3 linked regions of the Neodiprion lecontei genome follow. The protein of the gene in region 2 purifies or fractionates together with the protein of the main gene of each other region. This does not show direct contact. Links are inferred from orthologs where the notes say so. Each region holds a gene or a part of one and is shown on either strand. Other genes may lie near its edges.

Region 1 (7,856 bases), on a different chromosome or scaffold from region 2:
TCAATTTGTCCCTGTGTATCTGATGCAGCTACGATATGCTCTGCAATTCAATTGATCGGGAATTCAACCTGTTTTCACAATGGCGATCGACAGCCAAGGTTTTCAAAGTTGTTTGAAAATGATGCAAATATTTTAGAGGGAAAGTAAAAGATTTCAGAAGTGTAGAAAGATTTGCCATTCCAAAGTCCATTTAATGTGAACAAGCAATGCTGATAAACTTTGACTCATATTCAGCGCATAAATAATAATTTCACAGTAAATATCAAATTTTTACAAAATTACTCAATAACAACAATAATAGTAATAATAATAGCAACTGCTCGAGTTGAGTCTCGCTCATTGAATGCAACCTAGGATTGAAAAAAATATTGTTTTGTCTAAGAATATAATGCATATACTGTATTTGGAAAGTAAAAAAGTGTGACAACAATGAAACTTCAAGCATGTGACACTGTGGCAACCGTTCAAAACTTATAAATATTACCCGTCCTTCCCTCTACCTTAAATGCATGCTGCCAAAATTGACTCGCATTCACAAGTCAGTTTATTTTTAGTTTCTGTTGAAAAGAAACATCAAACGTTTGCGCGTGGCACGTGACCGATTCACAGATGCGATCCTGTGACCAGAGCATTATGTATAGATATATACTTGTCTCGTTACATAGCTATAATATTACACAAACACGATCGAATTAGATATGCACTATATTTCGGTGAACCATTTTTTCACCAGCTTGTCTGAATTGCTACTTATATTCCCGCAATAACTTTTTTTATTTTCAACCAACAAGAAATTGTAGCTCAGTATTGTACAAATAAAAATCCGACGTAGGACTTTCAATTGATAATTCTGAGTTTCCATTTAATTATTCGATTATACTAGGTGTCGCCGACGGCGTAGGTGGATGGAGACACTACGGAATTGACCCTGGAGAGTTTTCAAATTTTCTAATGAGAACCTGTGAAAGGCTAGTCACAATGGGCAGGTTTACCCCGTCAGAACCTGCAGGTTTACTGGCGCGTAGCTACTATGAGTTATTGGAAAACAAGCAGCCCATACCCGGTAAGGAATATTTAAAAAATATACGCAATAGAAATTGTCCAACTTTGGACTTCAAATTTAGACACTGATGCATCTTCTTTTAAACATATTAAATTTAGGCAGCAGCACCGCGTGCGTCATAGTATTAAATAAAGAGACCAGCAGCATTTATGCAGCTAATATAGGAGACAGCGGATTTGTGGTTGTCAGGAGAGGAGAAGTAGTGCATCGTTCATCGGAACAGCAGCACTACTTCAACACTCCGTTTCAATTGTCGTCACCACCTCCTGGCCACAGTGGGTTGGTACTTAGCGACAGGTGAGAGACAATTAATTTTTACTTGCAGTAACAACTAATTAGTTTTTCATTAATTGCCATTTCGAATCCCAAATACAGTTGACATAATAATTACACTTTGAATAATTATAAATAGGGTGCATTTATTCTCTATTATATGTTTATTCTTTTTTTTTTTCTTTCTCTTTTTAACAAACTTCACGTTATTTACAATTGGATTATAATTTTGGGATCTAAACTTTGAATACAAACAATTATATGCGTGTATGATATGCCGATTCCCTGCTAGAAGTTTGAACCCGACAATATTTTACAAGTTTAGTAATATTTTTATAGGCCCGAAGCTGCGGACACTTCCAGCTTTGGCGTGGAAGATGGGGATGTTATTCTTTTAGCAACTGACGGAGTTTTCGACAATGTACCTGACCAGTTGTTAGTCACCGAGATGCGCAAAGTCCAAGGAGAGCGTGATCCTACGAAATTGCAGGGTGTTGCCAATTCAATAGCCTGGATGGCCCGCAGTCTTGCGTTCGACGGGGCTTTTATGTCACCATTTGCCCAAAATGCTAGAGAAAATGGAATAGATGCTATAGGTTAGTACTGGGCATGAAATGCAGCCACCGCTTACTCTTGAACCAATTTCAACACGTACTTTGGTCTTGCGAAATTTTCATGCAATATTTTCACTTCAGAGAACATGAACAACAAAATATCATTGTTTGTTACAGGTGGTAAACCAGATGATATCACGGTGCTTCTAGCAACAGTGGCGATATAACTAAAAAATGTGTATAATAGAGCCCCGATCATTGTATTATAGTCCATGTCATTGCATATATGTATTAAGTTGCACATCATTCTATCCCAATATTATAACCCATTACTATTTAAATCTAAATAAATGATTTTTCAAATCATGATTCACTCTGATGAATTCATTTCAGACACATGGCTAACGTTTACTCTACAATGAACGTTCTACCAACGTAAATGAATAGTGGACAAAAGCGTTATTTAAATAGCTCATTCCGAAAGTCTGACAAATTGTTGAATTATTTCAAGTATTCAAGGAATAGCACTCTTGAAAACATGATAATAGACTTCGGTTAACTGTACATTCGAAAACGTTTGACGGCAAAAACAATATGTTTAGAGGTATCAATAAATTAAACGCTTACGATAATACTTAAATATTTTGAAAAGGTACTATTGATTGTACGAATATTAAAGCTGATCTTTGGGAAATGGTTTTAAGAATGTGAGAATTGGATGTATAATTTTCTGCACCGTATGTTTGATTTTAAGAAATCATAGTCATGGACCGTTGTTATTAATAAAATATACTGCTTACATTTGTAGCTGAGCCCCAATGGTTAATCGGAAAGATTCTACTTCTAGTTAGACATTATGCGCACGAGTTCACAACTATCATTATTAAAAGCCTTAGAAATGTTCTGACATTATCCGATGCAGAAACTTCTGAGTTCATTTCACCTGGAGAATTTTAATTGATACTTTATTTTTATAGCTAAATCACAGATAGTAAGACATTTTACACAAATATAAATATATTATGACGAAACTTACATAGACAATTGAGATGCAAACCAACGCTTGCCATGTTTTTAAACAGGTTTTTCAAACGACCATTCAAGTTTACTACCAACATCTAATTATATAATTTGAGAATTGCATGTATGATAAATTGCGAAAACTTGTTTTCTAATGCCTTTAATGTCATCTCACTATGGTAGCAGAGCATCGTTCGATCATTCAATCATACCTTTTACCATAACAACCTATGTTACTTGTACGTAAAATTAACTTGATAATTGGAATATAAGATTTTCCTTCCGATTGATCTAGTGATTCTAGAAGAGTGACGGCAGGAACTCATTCAAGTAGTTTTCTGTTATTACTCAATTTTTGAATAGCTTTAGAAAATGTCAATGCTGAATGAGATATTGCATAAGCACGGGTTTCTTGGTTTAAAAATTGTAAATATTCAGCAAAACCCCTCAAATCATTAAAGTTTGATGCATGCATAACAATTGCAACTGTTTCGAGTGGATATGCCATAGATACCCAGCACTTAAACTACAATTAAATATCTTCAAAAAATATGCAGCATTATGTCAAATTAAAGTAACTGTTATATACGACAAAAAAATAACTGAAGGATTTACTTGAAACGCTCGGGTGATGATAATAATGTGGTGTTAATTCGGCGAATTTGTCTGCGAATCATTGCACGTTAGCACCTTGACCCCAGTTAAAACCGCCCGGCCTATCCTCAGGTAACGGTGTGTAATTTGGATCCTCCGTATGTGCATCGAACAGAGTTTTTCTGAACACAGAAATTTATTATAAGAAGTATGACCTAACCTTTGGTGAGAGCCTTAATTTGAAGACAGTAGATAAATCTGAATAACTCACAATATCTGCGGGGTCTTGAGTATGCGAAAACCACCATTTTGTCGTGGAAATACATCTTCAGCAAAGTAGTACATGTGTCCTACTGCCATTCCGATCAAATCAACCCAAATTGCATTGCCTAATAGAACGGAGAATCCTAAGAGCACCCAAGGCAAGTATGGCGCCTATGTAGAACGGAAAAAATTACAATGCGTCTGTTACATCAAAATCGATATTCCTTCTATTTTTCCAATTTAATTATCTGCAAGCGTACTTGAAAGTTGAGGAGTCCAAAAAAGTTCATTCTGACAAAAGGATTCCGTCTTGACCATATATACACCAACATGATGGTGAGTGCTTGGCCAAGGAACAATAAATTAACGAAAAATGCGAATATCTGTAAGAATTTGAGGAATAATACTCAACTAGAGCAATGCGGATGATACAATAATAAAATAAAACGGAGACGAAAAGTTCATAGACAAGGATACAATCATGCAGATGCCACCAAATATGAACATCATAACAAAGTCGGCGGTTCTACCGCGGAACGAGACTTCTTCCAGCATCCGACAATAGCGATACGTAAATATCATATTGAAGAAGAAATTGAATCCAACCGTCCCGAAGAATAGGAAAGTTGTGATCAGTCGCCATAACTGCAAAGGTATAATTAACAAGAGAGAGATATTAACTCACCGTGGAACGATATTTATATTTTCTAACGTAGAAACTGATTGAGAAAATTACCTGATATTGTTTCAGTATTAAAATCGGATTGAAGTATAATTGGAATGGAGAGACGAGGTCCAATTGCTGTAAGAAAAAGAATAAAAATTTAATTTGACACAAATTTAACCTCGCAGTAATGACGAACGTTTTGTCAATACTGAAAAGTGCAGTAATCACGGGGGTAACATGGAATCTGAATAATATCGAGAATCGAGTGAACTCTGACGGAAAATTTTGTACGAAGATAATAAAATACGTATGTATACCACGGCTAGAGTCGTGATGACACAAGCAGTCGTATACGCTCGTGTCACCACGGGCATTTGCAGGTATTCCTGCCTAAACGTTTGATAAGCCATTTAACGACGGTTATATTTCTACCCTCTGACAGGCTATTCTCTTTCCTATTTTACAGTTGCATGTCGTTCATCCTTTCGCGTTATCATAACGTAATCATTGTCCACATCACAGAAAAACTTGTCAGTCACTTCAATTTGGTACACGTAATATAAATATACACGTATGTACGTACATACATTACGTGTGCAGTGTGTGGCAATGCGAAGTGAGCTGCATATCAGATATCAGCTGTAACGATGTATCGATGCTTTTCAGATGGGGTAAGCGCGGCTTGAAGTAGGCTGCATTTTCGTCCTATTCGCGTTTGTTTATCTTATGGTGTTTCGTCGTCTATGGTTTGTCCCATCAAAGCAGACCACGTATGTTGTACTTGCGGTATACATAGTTTCGAAAATTGTATCTCGCTATAAATTTTCCCAATTTACATTACGATTTTATAACTGAAAAATATTAATTTCACATTGGAGGATTAACTTCTAATCTTGTCAGATTAAATATAACTTATAACTTGTCGTGATTAGAATGGTGTTGACCAAGGAATATCGGATATGCATGCCGTTTACCACGGACGAGGTAATGAGATTATAATTTTAAATTCTTTTTTCAATTATGCACGAATCAATTATGAATAAAATCACTGTTACAACGATTATAGGCAATTCTATATAAACATGTTGATTTGCGTATATTATTATATTTAATTTGGATGAATAATCGCACAATCAATCGAATATATTTATCCAAATATGATGCATCGGCAATCATTCCTTCGCGAGTGAGAATTCAAATATCGGTTCACGTAACAAGGACCTAGTTACAGTATTTGCCAAGTAATGTTGGAGAAAATAAAATTCCAAAATTTCTCTCATCGTTTATCATTTTAGTATCAAATCGGACAATTGTATATGATTGCGCGACACAGTCACGAGCAATCTGATTCCGATGAAGGTGTCGAAGTTATTGAGACGTCGCCGTGCGAACATGCCACTCATGGAACAGGTCAATTTACTGAGAAGAGGATTCATCTTTCAAAGTAATATATTCTTGATCCATGGATAATGAAGCAGTTTTCTATATCGTTTTCAATCTTCCATGCCTTTATGTTATTTCAACCGTTATTGTTCTCCTCCTTCATTTCAGTAAACTACCGTATTGGATCCAATCATTTGTACCGAAGATATTTTACATTACTGAAAAAGCTTGGAACTACTATCCTTTCACAATTACGGGTGAGATGTTTCAACTTTTGTTGGAAATTAAAGGTGATTCAATTCAAATCTGCAACGAATCACTCCCAAGTACCTTAGAACATATAAACCATACCCTATTTGTTTTGGAACACTTTTCCATTCCCTGCAAATAAAATAATATGTAATATTTTGTTACATGGGGCAATGGTGATCTTCACAGTTTACACAGTGAGTATTATGCATTAAATTTCATTAAAATTCCATTATGCATTGTACAACGGGTGTATTTGTATTTCAGTGTTCGTTCATACCCACATTTCACATATCTATCAATACTAGATACGAAAACAACAATGGCTCAAATGAAAACGTGAGTTATTCACTTGTAATATTGAATGATATATATGTCACCGTTTCAATCATTGATTCTAATATCTAGTCAATGGGTAGTGCTTAGATTTAACTCCTGTGGAACTTATTCATCGGGAAGTTGATTATATTGACATCGCATATGATGAAATAGCTGCCAAGCACTACAAAGAGGAGGAGGTATGTTTCCTGCACTTTTAGCGTCTGTCATACGTTATTCGCATTAGACTGAATGCAATTCTTCATTTTCTACTCAGGATCCAAAATACTTTAAATCGAAAGTAACTGGACGAGGTCCTCTCGTTGAAGGATGGAGAGATGTTACGCAGCCTATAATGTGCTCGTATAAATTGGTTCAGGCTTCGTTCGATGTCTGGGGAATGCGGACACGAGTCGAGGAGTTTATTCACAGAGTGAGAAATTACTTCCCTCCGATTGTCGATTAGAATTCTAGCCAAAGGCTGCACAGTCAATCCCAACACTCAGCTGTGCAAATAACTGATTTTCAAAAATATTTTACAGTGTATAAGGGATATTCTTTTACTTGGACATCGACAAGCCTTTGCGTGGATAGACGATTGGTACGGAATGACACTGGAAGACGTACGGCAATACGAGTCGAACATGCAAACGGAAACCAACAATAAAGTCAACGTCAAGCCTACTGAACCTGTGTTGCCCACCACACCTACTACACCTTCAACCTCTGTTCCGTCATCGCCTAACCAAGAAACTGCAAAGGAAGCAGTAAATCGTTCATGGTTCTCCTGGTCATAGCCCGAACGAAACCTCTTACAAAATGTATCGAGATTTGTAGCCAGCAATCGCCACACCTCGATCATTTACATTCTAAAAATAACGAGTATATTATTGTATTTACTATCGACGAACCGGGAACCGTTCGGGTGTTCGTATACAACACGCAATGCACAATTTGATATTTGTAAAAAGTTCAATTTTTTCCCTGTCAAAAAATTGATTAATTTCCAAGTATCCAAGCAATCAAAATAATCTGTGAGATGTATACTTTTCACGTAAATTAACACACGGATTTTATTGTAGTCAAAATGTAGTGCAATGTATAGTTAGACTAGCGAGGTGTTGATTGTTTTATGCAATTGTAAGGCCATGCGGATGTAAATTCGCTACCAGTATAAATACAATCTTCGTGACGTCGATCTTGCCGGTATTCCTTGTTCGTACTAGAATTGAACATAGTTTCACAATAATGTCCTTTCTTGTGAATGTTATTCAGGATAAGTATTTTTGTCGTTTACAATAACAATAACGCAAATTGATCGTTCCTTTTAATTTAATTTAAAAATCAAAATATACAATATTAGCCTACGCAATGTTATACCTATAATCGCGTTTCTGTGTGTTACGGTGTTAATATAAATTAAATATTATTTCACTGTTAGTCTTTTTTTTTTCTTTTTCTTTCATTCCAA
Region 2 (8,425 bases):
CGCATTACAACGTATCTTCATCAATGTAAAGGGGGTTAATGTAGGAGTTTGCCTAGAAATTTGAAACATGTATACGTACGCAGCTCCAAATAGCGAAAAGTACTGATATCTCCGCAATATAATAGAAAGAAATTAAACATTTGCAAAAAAATATCAGTTTTTTGACTTTTTTTACATTCAAATTACCTCTGCACATGGTTTAAAATAATCTTGAGTATAAGATACATCTATGTGTGCCAGCCTTAAAACACCTATAAAATTTTATAAAGTAAACAATAAACTTCATACCTTTAATGGTTTACTACATGGTGTGGTAGAGATATTTAATGGATCAAATCCATGCTGTGGTACGTCGGTATTAATGTACATGATTTGGAATGGTGCATAACCGTCGTCACCAGCATCTCCCATAAAGTCAAACCACCTCTTGGGCGTACATTTGCTCGCTCCCCACGGAAGACACATAATGTCAAATACTAGTTCACCTGTGCTGGGATACGATACTCCCTTGCACGAATTGAAAGCACTATTTATGTAACGATCAGTTATGTAGACATCTATTTCATTAACGTAGGTTTTATCTATAAATGACACATAATGAGTATATTAATAATTGAACCGAATTCTCAAATTACACGAGCCTACATGAACTTTACTCCAGAAACTGAAGATTAAAAGAAAGGTTGTTTCATGCTGGATATATGGTTCATCATCTTAAAATTCGAGAAATTTGTATGCAATAAAAAAAAAAAAAAAACCCAACATTTATCGCATGTGATGAAAAGTTTGTCAATTGCTCTACATTCAACATCAAAAGCCCAATACAGAGAAATCATTATGATTGACCGATCAGTCTTCATTTGATAATGGTATTACTCAGTCGTAATTTAACTTACTATCGGCTGTTACATTGGTGCTCGTGACATCAATAAATTTACTCTGAAACGGGCTGCATGTAAATTCACATATGTGTTTAACCCAATTATTGAGACAGCTCGGACATCTTTGCAACAAGATAGCGCCCTGATTTACTTGGGTATTCAGGGTCGTCAATTGCTGCGGACTACAGCAAGTCGTTGTACCATTTTCTGTATTGTTTATAAGGTGCGAACACCATGTGGATAGAAGCTCCTGTCCAGTCTTATTCAATGGTTTCGCTTCTCCTGTATATAGGCAATTTAGCATACCTCTTGGGCCCTTATAACACTCATCATACCATATGCAGTGTCCATCATCAGTGCTAGATACCTTTTAGAAAAAGAATATACATACATGTGTTCAAGCCTTTTGATTCAGACGACAATTGAAAGATTTTTCGAATTTGCAATAGGGATATGTTCAAAGTATCATGTTTCTGCAAAATAGTTGATTATATGCATCGAATATTATTTCGGTACATAAATGCTTTGGTAAGGAGTCAACATCTCATATAGTGATACAATTTCACTATCCTATTAGAATGATATTAGAACGAAAGTTACGACACGTTGTTGTGTCAGAATATGATAACGACTATCGAGAAAAACCAAGTTTGATACGTTAATTAAATATTATGATATAACTGTGGAAATAAAACTTTCCACATCCAGAGTACATTAGAAGCCAAGCAAAGTTCAAAATCCATGAATTTTCGCTTGAAATATAAAAAAAAAAAAAATCAAGGTCGCAATAGTTATATATATACACGTCTGTTCGCATTCGAAAACCAGTTCTTAAAGTCAACTGAAACCTTACGAGCATTCCTGAGATTACCTTGGAATGAAAATCTTCCGAACGGCGTACTAGTTACTCTATAGGGGGACTCTACTTACTCTCTGTCATGTTTTTTTGTTACGATAATGTATGCACAATTATGCATATACCTATAATCGTGCGAAGTCGAGAAAACAAGTAATATATAATGTAGTCGCCAAAGCTTTGATAAATTGCCAGGGCATATTCCTAATTACAAAGTTGCTGCTTCGGCTCATTGGCGAAATTTGATACGATCTCACTGACGTTGAACTTGTGAAAAGTGACTAATCAAATAATCTACGGACTCGACGAGTCATTTTTAGACCATCGTAGGTACGCATTTATAATGTACACTCAGATAGAGTTATCGCAAATCGTATCAACGGCGTATTTATCTATCACGAATTTCTTGTATGCGAAGCATGTCATATTAATTGGAAATTGACGCCATATTATAATCATACAATGTCATAAGACAGTTGATACGGATGCAGGATTTGTTAGCGCAATGTACAGGGTTATGATGTACCGAAGCTAATTCAACGGTCTAAAGTCTTTAATGGACAATGCAGAGGAGGCAATTAGATTTAATAACCTCGTCAATGATCATCAATAAGCGTTTAAGACGATGAGGTGATGTGACGTCACGCACAAAGAAAAATATCCGACCGTTAGCGCCTTTTCTTCATCGTCATGGGTGTGGTGTGATAAAACAATAAATATATTATATATATGTGTGCGTGTGTATGTGCATACGTTACTTTAAGTAAGCAAATATTTGTTACGTACCACAACCAGCAATCCGGCAAATGCAAAAAGAAACGCCGAGGTTTTATCGAACATTTTTGCACCTGTCAAAGCCCAAGCGCTTGACGATGAAAGTCCACTCCGACTTCTTCTATTTCACTACTTGCCAATCTAGCATTTACTAATAATTGCCAGCTCCGGGCTTACAATAATAAGAACACGAACGTATCTATGTACTTTGGTACGTGTTAAATGTCTTTGACATATATCAATTTTTTTAAATACTTAATCACTGTACAACACAATCCTACGCACGTCAGTAACGATCAGTGCGTAAAAATATATTCACTAGGCGCTAATGTTTCACGCGAGTGGTCGCGACAACGCTTGCTACGCACGGAAACCACGAGTGAACTAAAATGAATCAATCGAGACTCGAACCTTCCTCGAGCGAGGGTCTGGGGGTCGAATCAACTCATCGACCGTTCGTCATTCGTCCAATCAGGATCGCTCTACCACGATTCTACTGCCGCTTAATGCATGAATCATGACATGCTGTGCTCGTGATTTTTGCAATATATTATACTATGCCATGAGGCGTTTGCAATGACATTTAAAAATAATTATATCTGAGTCCATCTCAGATGTTTTTTGTTCCAGCTTGGCCATGAAAAATTTGTTATATTTAATTGACAATTGCTAATTGGAAATATCCAGCCGTCCGCGGAAGTGCAATGGGAACATTGCGGTGGCGCATGACACAACAAAATTGCGATTTGAATCATAATCAAATAGAATAAACTTAAGTACTTGACTATGATATTCCAATTAAACAAAGCTGTGTAATCGTTGATTCGTAATTCGTCTTATCTCTCTGTTGGCTTAATTGTTTGCGCGCAAGTGTCGCAATTTGAAATAATCGAGTATGTATACATGTAATATGTATTGTATTGTAACCAGTGAGTCTCCCTCTGTAGTGTGCATAAAAAAACATTGGATAGATAGTCACTGAGGAACACTGGTCGAATAAATGCTCTAAAGCGTTGGAAACACGGAAGGCACTGCAAAGATGCGCGAAAGTGACTTGTGATCGTGCTTGTGATGATCCAGCGTAGCAAGACGTATTGAAATTAAGGTTAATTTTTTTCCCCATTCCCGAACTAACTACCCAAATGATCATTCGGTTAGCTGGTTGCTCAAGTTTTATAAGCGTCTCGTACTGTAGTTGATAAGCATTTGACAAAAAAAAAAGTTGAAAAGGCATACTTCATTACACAATTTTACACAAGTCAAAATCGAAACCAACCATGGCAGATCTTAGAATTGGAGAGTTATCTCCTGATCAAACAGAAAAAGTTCTTCAATTTCAGGTAAATTTCCTCCTTCATACTTGAACTTTTGTCAAAAACTTACCTATCGATAAGTTAATTACCGTCACCACATTTTTCTAGGACTTGACCGGTATCGATGATTTGTCTGTGTGTCAAGATGTTCTACATCGTCACAATTGGAACTTGGAAGTAGCTGTACAGGTACATTAAACTTGCAGATCATTCATTTTCCTGATTACTTATCGACCAGGAAGCATCTTTGTTTTAATAACTGTTTTTCTTTTTTGTCAACAATCTTAACCTCCAACCCGAGCCTTTATATTTATTACTCGATGAAAATCTAGGAGCAACTCAACCTGTACGAAGGAAGACCCTCCATGTATGCGCAAGATTCACGGTCTCGGCCACCGCCAGTCATTGATGATACGGGATTTCGAATTTATTTTAACCCTCCAAACACTTCGGATAATGGCGGCAGTTTATTCTCTTATATTTACACATTGTGGTGCAATATTGTCTCTAGTATCGGACAACTACTCCTTGCTATATTTCGCTCAGACATTAGACCTAGTAAGTGTAATCATAGTGAATTCCGTTAACTTATTGTTACTCTGTTGCGTAGTGATAAATCGCTAATACAAAGGTTGTGACTGCTGTCGACTTGTAACGTAGCAATCCAGGTTCATCTTTAAGATTCGACTAACATCATATGTCGCTGTGTTTTACAATAACTCCATAAAACCATTTACATATTCGCAGTATCCTCGGATCCTGTGGAGGATGTTGTAAATTTCATAAGAGTATATGAGGAGCGCTACGGAAATATCCATCCTGTATTTTATCAAGGATCCTACAGCCAAGCTATTTCTGATGCGAAACAGGAGCTCAGATTCTTACTAGTTTATTTACACAAAGACGAAGCTCAAGATATTGATCAATGGTGCAGGTAATCTTGGTTCACTGCTTGATTCGGATTTCTAACTTTCTTCCTGCGTGTGGATGATTTTCAATCACATAAATATTATCTCTTAGTGTCAAAGTAATTAACATGTGCAAGAGCCACGCTCACAATCTGAAGATCCCATATTTCCACTGATAATATCAAAGTTATATACTGAAGTGTTTATAAAGCACTTTCAAAAATGAAATTTTATTATTGCTGAACGTATAATGAAAGACATGCATACATGCCAAGCTATGGCATTTTCGTGATACTTAAAGCTCTTACACATCTCCGGTAGACTATATTCTATTCTGTAAGTTTTGCAGCCAGAAATAATATCTATCATATATTCATTTACTCCTCAGAAGGACTCTGGGCGATCCAGAGGTGGTGAGGTTTATCAATACGCGAACACTATTCTGGGCATGTAACGTCCAGTCTGGAGAAGGCTATAAGGTTTCAGAAGCTCTTAGGTCAGGCACTTACCCTTTCCTTGCCCTTATTGTTCTCAGGGATAACAGAATGACTATCGTTGGGCGGTGAGTGGTAAAACTACGACATATGTTACAGATTAATCATGCTGCCAGTACCTCTTAGTCAAACACATAACACAAATGCGCGTTATTGTGGTAGACTATATTTGGAATGTTCAAGACTGTTTTTGTATTTCATATAAAATAGCATCTGATAACAGATGACACATTTACCTTCAGCACCCATCAGTTATTAGGCACTATGTCATACTAAATAAAATGACACCAAAAATAGCTTAAAGGTTGATTCTACTTTAAGCACAATTTGAAGAATGGAGAATCCAGTTTATAAAAGTCACTAGCCTGTGCGTACCTTTATTTATGGGGAATTCACTCTCAACAAATAAATTACTTTGTCATACCGATTCAAATTAACTGTTAATTACACAGAATATCGGATAAATTTGAATTTTTCTATTAATCATGATATTATTAAATGATCTCAGCATGGAAGGTTCACCTACACCATCTGAACTGATTCCTCGCCTGCAAACTATTATGGAAAATAACGAAATCGGTCTTATTCAGGCAAGACAAGATAGGTAAGATATATCAATTGTACATACATATCCACTTATACCTGGTAAATTATAACAAATAACAAAGAAACCCGATCGAAAATTGCATGAAGTTGAAGTTAGTACCGTTATTGTAACGACACACTGAGAAAGAAATCACTGCCCCGCAACTTTAGAATGACTTCAAAGAAGTACAGTTTCCGAAATGGCTATGTTTTACTTTTCAATATGGTTTGCGCAATCTCTTGACAATCTCAAAATTGTGAGATAACAATTTTTCCTAAACATGCATCGTTATGTCAACGATATATGAACTTCAACCTTGCACCGCAAACCAATCTTATAAAATCAGATTGCAATTCTCTTTACCCAAAATCTTCTGATATTTGGATGCTTAAGGCTTTCAATGATTTCGTTATGCTTGCAAGTGTGAGTACAATAAGGGCCAGCCCGAATTGACAGCAGAGTTTATACTGTACTCAAAGGTCTAATCGGCAAAACTAGAATTCATAGAATTAAATATTATCAAATTAATTGTATATACTGTTACATTGTTCAGGGCAGAACGTAGTGCAACTCAGTCTCTGCGTCAGCAACAAGATGAAGCTTATGAAGAATCATTAAGAGCTGACCAAGAGAAGGACCGACGAAGAGAAGAGGAGCGAAGAGCAAAAGAAGAGAAAGAAGCCAAGGAAAAAGAAGAACTCAATGCTCAAGAGCGGGAAATTCAAAGAATTCGGCAAGAGAAAGAGCTCACAGTTAAGAAAGTTCCATTAGAGCCCAACCTTTCTAACCCTAATGTGTGTCATCTTCAAATAAAACTCGGCGAAAGAACTATGAAAAGAAGATTTCTATTGTCTGACACAACCGAGGTAAATTTTTTATTGAGATACGCATCACAGTCGTCCTAACTATGTCAGTAAAATATCATCAAATATCAACTATGTCAGTAAACACACATTGGAAGTACACAAAAAGATCCGTCACATAATATGATTATTATATGATGTGACCCTTTACATTGGTCCAAAAACTATGGACATTGACTATCTAATTGTAAGTTTATTTTGGAACATAATTCTCTTGAATTTTACTATTCATTTCAGGACGTGTACCATTGGATATTCTGTCAGCCAGATTCGCCAGCTAATTTTGAAATTACAACTAGTTACCCAAGAAGAATTCTTTATCCAGCCAACATTATACGGACATTGGGTGAAGCTGGATTAACACAGCGAGAAGTGCTACACGTTAATAATTTGGATGATTAACACTGACCAATATACCTACCTACATTCACTATTTTCGGTGTCACTCCGAGGAATGAATGATTCAGCGGAAAGAGACGTTTACTGAAAGATAATATATATTTGATACATTCTAGTATTTTACATACTACGCCACTGCTACACGGTAGTAAAAAAAAAAAAAAACTATCGAGAGATATATAATTATTGAAGATTTGAATATGTTAAGCTTTACAAAAAGCTTCTTAATATGTATAATATTTCTACAGAGATGTACTAAATTAATATAGTAGATACTTAACCATTTTTTCCTGCGTCACCTACAAGCGGATTTTTATACGTGATTCATTGGGTCACCTTGGTCTTTCTACAAATATGCTTCTGAACATCACAATCATTTCTATCTCGTAGGGAAAAAATTAATTTTGCACAGCTATGAATTAGTCAATTAAACCATTATGGAACATAATATATCACTCGATGCTTCGACCCATACAATAACGTATTGTTTCTCAGTTACTTCAAAATGAAATAGGCACCCATTTAAAAAGAAATCAGGGATATTGTGGAGGTTTAGGCTTAAGAAATACATGCGTTAATCGGCGAACACTATGGACTCGAAGTATAAAAGATGCAAGCTAGTCCTAATTAAGAAAAAGATACTTCAATTACTCAATCCTTATAACAAAATTATGTTATATTTAATAACGGCGGTACTCTTTACATCGAGTCTTATTATCGAACGTTATAGGCCTGATTTTAGATGAGATTTTACTTAAAATTATTGTACCGTAACATGCCTACGGAAAAGTATGTATGTAATTAAAAATTTACCGTATGAATAAAAACTGAAAGTTTTCATTGCAAATCTAGCAAAGTTCGAAAAGTATAATTTTATTCTACTATTTCAACATACGGGTTTTTACTCATTTTTACGCATGATAGAATAACCATATCAATTATCTACCCCTTGTAAGCTTGAATCACGAAGTCACTCAAATGCGTGAATCGACAGAACTTGCCGCAGTAATCGTTTACATTGGGTTACTTTTTTGTACCACCAGCGTCGCTAGTGTTCCTTTTGTACCGAAGTGTCATTAGTTGCAGAGATGTTCAAAGTCGACTAATCGATGACAGTGCTGCCAGAAAGCGAGTAAAAAGTATCCCTTCCCTAGCAGCTTGCGCGCATCTCACACAACGTCAACGGTGCACGTCGGTGTGTCGGGATGGCGACGGAAGCCGAACGATGCCGAGTCAGCTGACAAATCGAGGGGAAATGTTCCCCTACCAAGCAATGAAGAGAGCGCACACACACAACGTCACACAGCTGTGCGCGGGATCTGTGGAAGGGGTACTTTTTACTCGCTTTCTG
Region 3 (7,309 bases), on a different chromosome or scaffold from region 2:
ATAATTATAGAGGAAATTGAAATGTGAATGTTTGATCTTCAGGTAAGAGGGTGTAAACAGTATATCATTTATTCCAAGAAATTCCCTCTTTCCAGAATTTCGAAATTGATAACAAATTTTCAATTTCTCTACTATTCCAAATCATACGACTGTCTGAATGTGTTGGATGTTACAAGACGGTGTGTGGTGAATTAAATTTGCAACGAATGATTAGAGATTTATGGCTCGCAGTAGTTGAGAAATTCAAAATAGTAGTTGAAATTGAATATATAGCCACTGTTATCAGCAGCAGAAATATGAATAAATATATGTATACAAAAGAATATACGTATAAATGCGATGGTAAAAAAAAAAAGTTAAATGTAAAACGAATTCGAATAGCACCGTTGGAAATAATTAAGTTACGTGGTAAGAAAATTCTTAATATCACAAAGACATGTTATTAAAATCGTTGAAGATCGTATAACCGAAGGATTGTGAGCATTTCAATGATGCTGTAATTGGCGATTTACTTTTTAACGAGAATAAACGGTGATTATAAAAATTAATGTTAGACGACCTCATCATTGTAAAACATGTGAACCATCCAATGTATATGTGCGCGAAAAAAAATGTTTGAAAATAAAATAAGTACGTGACGGAAACTTAATACCGCAATTAATTTCTCACTCCATATATATTATTTTATTGTTTAAACGAATATTGGAAAACAGCTGAAATTGAATTTACCCACCCAAGAAACCTTACAACATTTCATAAAATTCAATAAGGGCAATTCAAAAGAAGAGGAAGTTGTCACTTACCTTATAGTAAACATCAGGAACATATTGCTTATCTGTGGACTCAATAACGTAGCCAAGCTCCTGCGCATCCTTGGTTGGGACTAGACACCCATCACGTACCAATGCCATGCACTGATTAGAGACTTCGTATCCTTCCATGTGCACTTGATTCTTATCGTCACCTGGAGATCAAAGGAAAAGGTAAAGAATATTCTGAGAACAGTTTTTGATTGCAATGTAAAACGAAAGGCTCTGATTTACTAGGAGGTGCACTGCAGTAAATTTATACCATATTGTACCGAATAATACAGCAAGCGTGATAAACACTCTGATTAATATATTGTTAATAATTATACATTACCTGTGACACAGACTGTGACGAACTTTGAGCCAAAATAACCACTCGGTGAAAAACGGCATGGATTCGGATGCTGGTTTTGAAAGTATCCTGCCATAATACACTCTTGTGCTGATAAAAAGTGACTGTCTATATTTCTGACGTGTTTCACCTGGAAAAATACACATTCATATGCAATTAATTATTTTTGAATAACGCATTATCCACAGATCTTGTCGCGGCGTTTGTTTCAAAATGAAAATTAAAGCTTGGACGTCAGCCAATACGTACCGTGCCTTTTTTGACATCTTCAGCAATTAAATCTGTGAATATCCACCCCACTCTTTGCAAACCAAGAAGTCGAGCAAGTTCGTCGACTAATTCTTGTCTTGGATCTGGTAGGAGAGATACAGTATCTCTCGTGCTGTCCTGAGAGGAATTATAAGCCATTTGTAGATAAAATAAATATAAGTTTTGTGATTTGAAGAGCTTTAATATGTTACTAAAGTCGAAGATCATTCGAATTGTTCTTACGAATATTGAACAACTTACTTGTGGAGGTTCGTATATTGCAGCAACTACAGCCCTAATGCCTAGGGGTACGTCTGAGTGTATTTCATATCTACCATAGAGGTAACCAACACGTTGATGTCCGGTACTACGCCAGTAGTTCAAAAAGCGCTCCACTAGACTAGCATTCTCAAACATGACGTTATCAACGTGACGATACTGTTGCCGATTCAACGTGATAGCGTTGGGCTGACATTTACTGCAAATCCCACGAGGCCATGGTGGGTGATCTTTGCAGCCTGTCTTTATGCGACAACTTATGTCCTCCAGTTGAAGAAATTTCCCTCTGTGAAAGATGATAAGTTTTAAATTAAATTATAATGCCGTTTCATTTCTAAAAATTCACTTACTTCTATCAGTTGTAACATTATAATTATGACTTCCAAATATTTTTAGTGTCACAGCTTGACTTCAACATCGAACTCTCTACGTAATGACATACCTATCAACCCCAGCTGTGAGCTTTCTGAGGTACGAGTGGAATGATAAATGCTTGATGTTTTGTTCCTTGAGGTATGCTTCATCAAATGGTTCTAATGGTGAGCAGTGCACGCAGCACCCGTTTGCACCATGGCGGCATCTGTAAATATTAGGATCATGAATAGCAATAGATATTAATCGAGTACTCGTCTTAACTTAGAAAATTTCTGAATTTCTTTTCACTTAAAGTCGATCTAATCTCTCAAAATTGACCTTTGAGCGCTCAGGGGTACATTTGTAGAAAAGGAATCAAACGGATAGGCGATGTGAATGATAATCATACATTAGACTCACAATTTCTCGTCACGCTTCTGCTGTATCTTGCCATCAAGCTTCCACAGTTGTTGATCTACTTCATCTTCCGTGACACTGGCAAGAGGTCGAGATGAATTGATGGCCATAGATCCCTGCGATAATCTGCTCGTACTCGGCATTGGTTCTGCTAAGATCAGTTAACCTTATTAGGATTGAATGTTATGAGGCCGCAGTTGGTAACATTAACATAACAAAATGTTGAAACAAAATTAACTATTTCACAGTTTCGGTATAACTAGAGGAGTTGAATTCACAAGATCTGAGTTTGTAAATGCTATATTACGGTTTACTGCTGATGCATCATTACTATAGCGTTACGAACTTCAATCTGATTTAGTACTTGAAAAATTCATTCTTAACTTACTGCTCAAAATGCTTTTACATTGTGCGACGATCGATATTAACTATAAGTCCTACAAATAAGAGCAAGTATAACAAATCTATTCTTCACCCATTGTATTGATTGTTTAAAAATTCTTAAACTATGTTGTACAGCGACGAGCTTCCAGTTTACATCAAGCGAAGTTATACCAAAGTACTGCTGGCAATTATTATAATTTATACTTATAACATCTTAGTGAAGATTACCGGCAGGAATATTTATGGAGGCACTACTAGTCGATGGTCCATCCTGTGGCCGTAATACTGTGCCATTGAGGGGCACAAGGTAGACCATATCGCCGTGAGACAATCCTGTTCCAAGGACTGTTTTGCTTCGAGAAGATACGAGTTCATCCTTGTGATTTTTTAGTTTATATAATCCAAAACTAAAGCTGTCCAAGTTAAACGTATCATGTACCTAAAACATGAGAATTGAATTGATGGTGACACCGTAAAGACAACATCATTAATCCAAGTACTTCTAAGCAAACTCTGATTCGCTGTATAATGTTTTCAATAACTAAATCGTGACCAGTTCTTTCCAAATCTGTTGTTATCATTGAATCACGCATTGCTTCGTCACTAGAATAGACAGTATTTAAAAAATATTTCAAGAACAATGACTAGAGAAAAATGTGTTATCTTTACCGACAATAGATGGCTCTCAGCTCAAGCATGATAAACTGTACGCACAAACTTGAGCCAGTGGTTTCACTTATTTTAAGTCACAAAGGCTAGCATTTACAGCGACAACTTGCAATGAATTTGCGAGTAAAGAAAAATTATGAGAATTGCAATCTGCTCTTACAAATAACAAGCAGAAGTACAAAATACCTTATTATTAGTAATTTCTTTTGCAAAATAAATTGCCAAATAAGTCAAACCTTTTCAAAGAGATCACGGACTGTATCAGTCGGTCTCACTTCTATCCGTTTGGTGCCTTCGGGTGATTGAACTCTGAGAGTCTGAAAATTGAATGACAAAATAAGGGGTTGCATGAAAGTAATTAGCATCGCAGTGAAATAAATTAACAGTATTTTTTCCCTTTAGGTTAAAAAAGAGAAGAAAATACTTTCGTTACTGTTCTTGAATATTTCAACAATGTATTATACATATATTATATGCATAGACATGTACGTATTATATTTTTCCCCATCGTAGGTAATGACAAAGGCGCAAAACGCGGCGTGGGTCGGGGGGAATGAAAAGGTTACGGCTAATAAATATCTACGGTTATCGGTATAGTGGGCGACTTAATTTGTCGGTTGTTTGAGTCATAGGTGACGGTGCGGATTCAAATAGACTTACAATTAGCGTTGATTTTGACATTTCGCCGGTATTCCAGAAGCATCAGCTGTTCGAGAGAGAGTTTCGAGCCCGCTGCCACAAGGCTTGCCTGTGTTAACAAAGCCCGATCAAAATCCCTAGTCAGCTGTGGAAAAACTGCCGAGTCAACCTTACGTGCCCATAACCTCTCTACGCTAAAGTATTACTACACGGTAAGTTTTGTACTTATAATTATCACTCGCGATCGCACATAACCAGTTACGTTACCCCCTTTATTTTATCGCCGTTCATCAGAGTCCACGATAATCGGTTAATATTCCTCTGCCTAACCGCGCGCAACAACTTTTTAAACGATAAATTGAGAGATATTTCACCCGAGTCGACGACTCGACTCTATTCTCGTCGTCAAGGAGCCACTGACACTCGCGTACCAGCCGCGTGCAGGCTCAATAAAAAGAGGAGGGCCCCGCTTCTTCTAGATGATCCGAATTTTCGTCGGTAACTCTCGCCGTTTCACCCCATTTCTCATAGAAAATCATCGCCAGCTAATATATTTTTCAGTCTGCGAATCTGCATTCGCGTATTTTAGTCGATAGAGAGAAGGGAAAAAAAAGGAATGGAATAGGATACGTCGATATACGTATAGTATGCGGTACAGTCTGGTCGAAAAACATTTGAAAACAAAAAACTGTGAAATATAATAAATTATCATGTTGAAGTTAGCAACATTGTCGTAACGGTTCATGTTAGCGAAAAACTGTTGTTTCGTGACCATGGTATAGTATAAAATTAGTAAACCTTAACAAAACAAGATATAACTCTTATGATAAATATTAGTTTTTCAAGTTCGTGTTAAAATTGCGAAGTAGTGAAGTTTTTCACGATGTTCCGTTACGATAACGTTACCAACTTCAACCTCGTAATAAATTAGATTCCAAATCTGCGAACTTAAACTGCGAAGTTAAACGATAAATTTGAAATTGATTGAAAAGATTATATATCCTCTCGACATCACGCAGTAATGATAAAAACCCTATATCTATATTATTATTATCGCAACATTCTATACCAAATCTATATAATCTTTTGTCCAATTTTCATTATTATCATTAATTAATCAAAAAATATTCTGACAAAACTGCATTGATAAGCAGAAAACGATAAATTTATGCTTCGTTGAAGAATATAATGAATTCTATGAGACATTTATATCAAGCATTCCCCAAAAAAATTTGCACGAAAGTGCAGCTGATAATCAGACGTTTCGACTCAAATTCGCGGGATTTCGTAAAAAAGAAATTTTTTCTTCTACGTCAGAGGAATATTCGTCTTTCGTCGAATTCAACTACATCAGTTTCAGTCGCACCTTCTAAACGGATGTTTAATTTCGTTTTCTCTCCTCGGACAGTTTTCCGATTAGACTGTACACCCGGTCCGATACATTCTTAAACAGGTTGCACTACACGTTGACTTAAGAATCTGTATACATAGTACGGCTATATTTATGTTACATCTACTCTGTGTATACATAGACGGAAGCATAGACAACACATTGACACACACATGTATGCACATTTGTGTGTAATGTTGTATGATCATTGCGTGCGTAATTATAATTGCATGTACGCATATTGTGTTATAAAAATAAACACATATAATAAGAATAACAATCGATCAGTTTGGCAGTTAATTAATAGTTCATCTGGGTGTCAGGATGTGTCCGGCATTAACGAGTTACCTCTTTATTCTCTATACATCATTTCACATTTGGATTATAATCGTTGTTATTATTATTTTTGTTTTCACGTTGTGCTAGTGTTGTATAAAGCACGGTGTTTTTAAGCTTAATACTGGCAAGTATAATAATATGATTAGTCAATGTTTTGAAATGAAGTAACTGCGTAAAACAAATTGTCCTGTATTTCTATGCATCTCGCATTATCTGCGGTGCGTGATCATTAAGCTAAACACTTAGTAACCGCGAGATTTCGACTTTCGTACTTTTCCGTTATACCAAACACCCCTCCTGCAAGTTACTAAATGTGACTTTACGTGTTTTTACCTCTCATGTCTTCTCGTTAAATATCCGATCCTTCGCAAGAAATTGGTTTAAAAAATGAAGTCCTAAACCACAATGGAAATGAATGACGAAACCATTTCACGCGATCTTTTTTTTATCTCTGTTTCTATCGCTATGGCCGAAAAGAACTTCAAAGATTTCGTTACTGATCCAAAATATAAATTTCACCACTCGCCTACATCACACTATGACGTAGTTCATGAATGATTGTGTCATTACTCCTGCACGCAAACAACCTGTCAGCCAATTTTGCAAGCCGTATTGCGCTCGCTCAGGCGTTTATATACGTATACAATACCTCGTGACTTCTAGCTATATAACGCCATAAAATTCTTGTTACGATTCAACAGACATGTATCCGCCACGTGTCTAACTATCATTAATATACCGATGCGAAATAAGTGATCTACGTCAATATCGAAACTCAAAATTTGTAATTCGGTAAACAACATGAAACATGTTTGCATACTTGAATTTAATTGAATAAAATTGAACTTTCGTCGTTTCCTTTATCCACATATAATTGAAATTACGCGATTGCGACAGAGAACATTTCCCGATATCCCATCCGCAGACGTAGCTGCGTATTATATTCCCCGCACATATAATATATATATGTGTGCAAGATTATACTTGTGACGCGTTTACTTTTCTTAAGAGAAAGACGCAAGGTTTTCTACGCGCAAGGTCACCCCAGTTTTTCCAATTCAAAATTCGAATCTACGCGTCGTTATAATAGCGAATTAGTGCGAAGTGGGAAGATCAAAGCCTGGTTTGCGATTGTAGTGGAATTATATCCCGATGATCGCTACCGTCATCGAGTGGCGCGTAGGTAACCCTTGTCTACAAGGAACAACGAAGAGGCGTATGTAGAGAGTGGAAAATACTAGGGATCTATTATTAGGGAGAGAAATGTAGGTAGGGAATCGGAGCGACGCTCTGTGCCCCAAGAATACCGTGGGTTGGCAGGTGGAAGTGTCGAGTGTGTAACCGCACCGTCCTTTACTTCGCAGCTTGGCTCTCCACCTTGTTATTTCTCTGGAAAGATGGTATTTGTCGGGTGGTACCGGTGGAGTG

The links. Proteins that work in one complex are often made in the same cells at the same time.
Region 1: the proteins of FAS-associated factor 2 (region 2) and derlin-2 purify together in Homo sapiens (affinity purification with mass spectrometry; 5 studies listed by BioGRID and IntAct, counting the BioPlex papers as one, with this or other methods). This does not show direct contact. The link is inferred for Neodiprion lecontei from reciprocal best matches to the Homo sapiens genes FAF2 and DERL2.
Region 3: the proteins of FAS-associated factor 2 (region 2) and nuclear protein localization protein 4 homolog purify together in Homo sapiens (affinity purification with mass spectrometry; 3 studies listed by BioGRID and IntAct, with this or other methods). This does not show direct contact. The link is inferred for Neodiprion lecontei from reciprocal best matches to the Homo sapiens genes FAF2 and NPLOC4.

Annotation. Positions count from the first base shown.
Region 1 is NC_060263.1:3,015,425-3,023,280, forward strand, and holds derlin-2, read right to left. Parts: upstream 5,003-7,856; 5' UTR 4,846-5,002; coding exon 4,753-4,845; intron 4,571-4,752; coding exon 4,505-4,570; intron 4,414-4,504; coding exon 4,246-4,413; intron 4,152-4,245; coding exon 4,029-4,151; intron 3,940-4,028; coding exon 3,776-3,939; intron 3,687-3,775; coding exon 3,584-3,686; 3' UTR 3,526-3,583; intron 2,260-3,525; exon of another isoform or gene 2,118-2,259; coding exon of another isoform or gene 2,068-2,117; intron 1,933-2,067; downstream 1-1,932. Other genes in the region: protein phosphatase PTC7 homolog, read left to right, coding at 884-1,063, 1,162-1,360, 1,676-1,932, 2,068-2,117; cytoplasmic phosphatidylinositol transfer protein 1, read left to right, coding at 5,162-5,205, 5,368-5,419, 5,731-5,879, 5,987-6,108, 6,257-6,264, 6,335-6,406, 6,487-6,585, 6,663-6,818 and 1 more.
Region 2 is NC_060260.1:29,803,442-29,811,866, reverse strand, and holds FAS-associated factor 2, read left to right. Parts: upstream 1-3,293; 5' UTR 3,294-3,788; coding exon 3,789-3,851; intron 3,852-3,932; coding exon 3,933-4,013; intron 4,014-4,156; coding exon 4,157-4,382; intron 4,383-4,571; coding exon 4,572-4,758; intron 4,759-5,120; coding exon 5,121-5,294; intron 5,295-5,734; coding exon 5,735-5,830; intron 5,831-6,365; coding exon 6,366-6,678; intron 6,679-6,912; coding exon 6,913-7,077; 3' UTR 7,078-7,209; downstream 7,210-8,425. Other genes in the region: NPC intracellular cholesterol transporter 1, read right to left, coding at 289-581, 897-1,248, 2,524-2,577. UniProt on the Homo sapiens protein: Plays an important role in endoplasmic reticulum-associated degradation (ERAD) that mediates ubiquitin-dependent degradation of misfolded endoplasmic reticulum proteins.
Region 3 is NC_060264.1:8,319,280-8,326,588, reverse strand, and holds the start of nuclear protein localization protein 4 homolog, read right to left. Parts: upstream 4,262-7,309; 5' UTR 4,195-4,261; coding exon 4,174-4,194; intron 3,831-4,173; coding exon 3,750-3,830; intron 3,284-3,749; coding exon 3,073-3,283; intron 2,612-3,072; coding exon 2,464-2,611; intron 2,270-2,463; coding exon 2,132-2,269; intron 1,976-2,131; coding exon 1,672-1,975; intron 1,549-1,671; coding exon 1,411-1,548; intron 1,292-1,410; coding exon 1,144-1,291; intron 965-1,143; coding exon 804-964; intron 650-803; exon of another isoform or gene 1-649. UniProt on the Homo sapiens protein: The ternary complex containing UFD1, VCP and NPLOC4 binds ubiquitinated proteins and is necessary for the export of misfolded proteins from the ER to the cytoplasm, where they are degraded by the proteasome.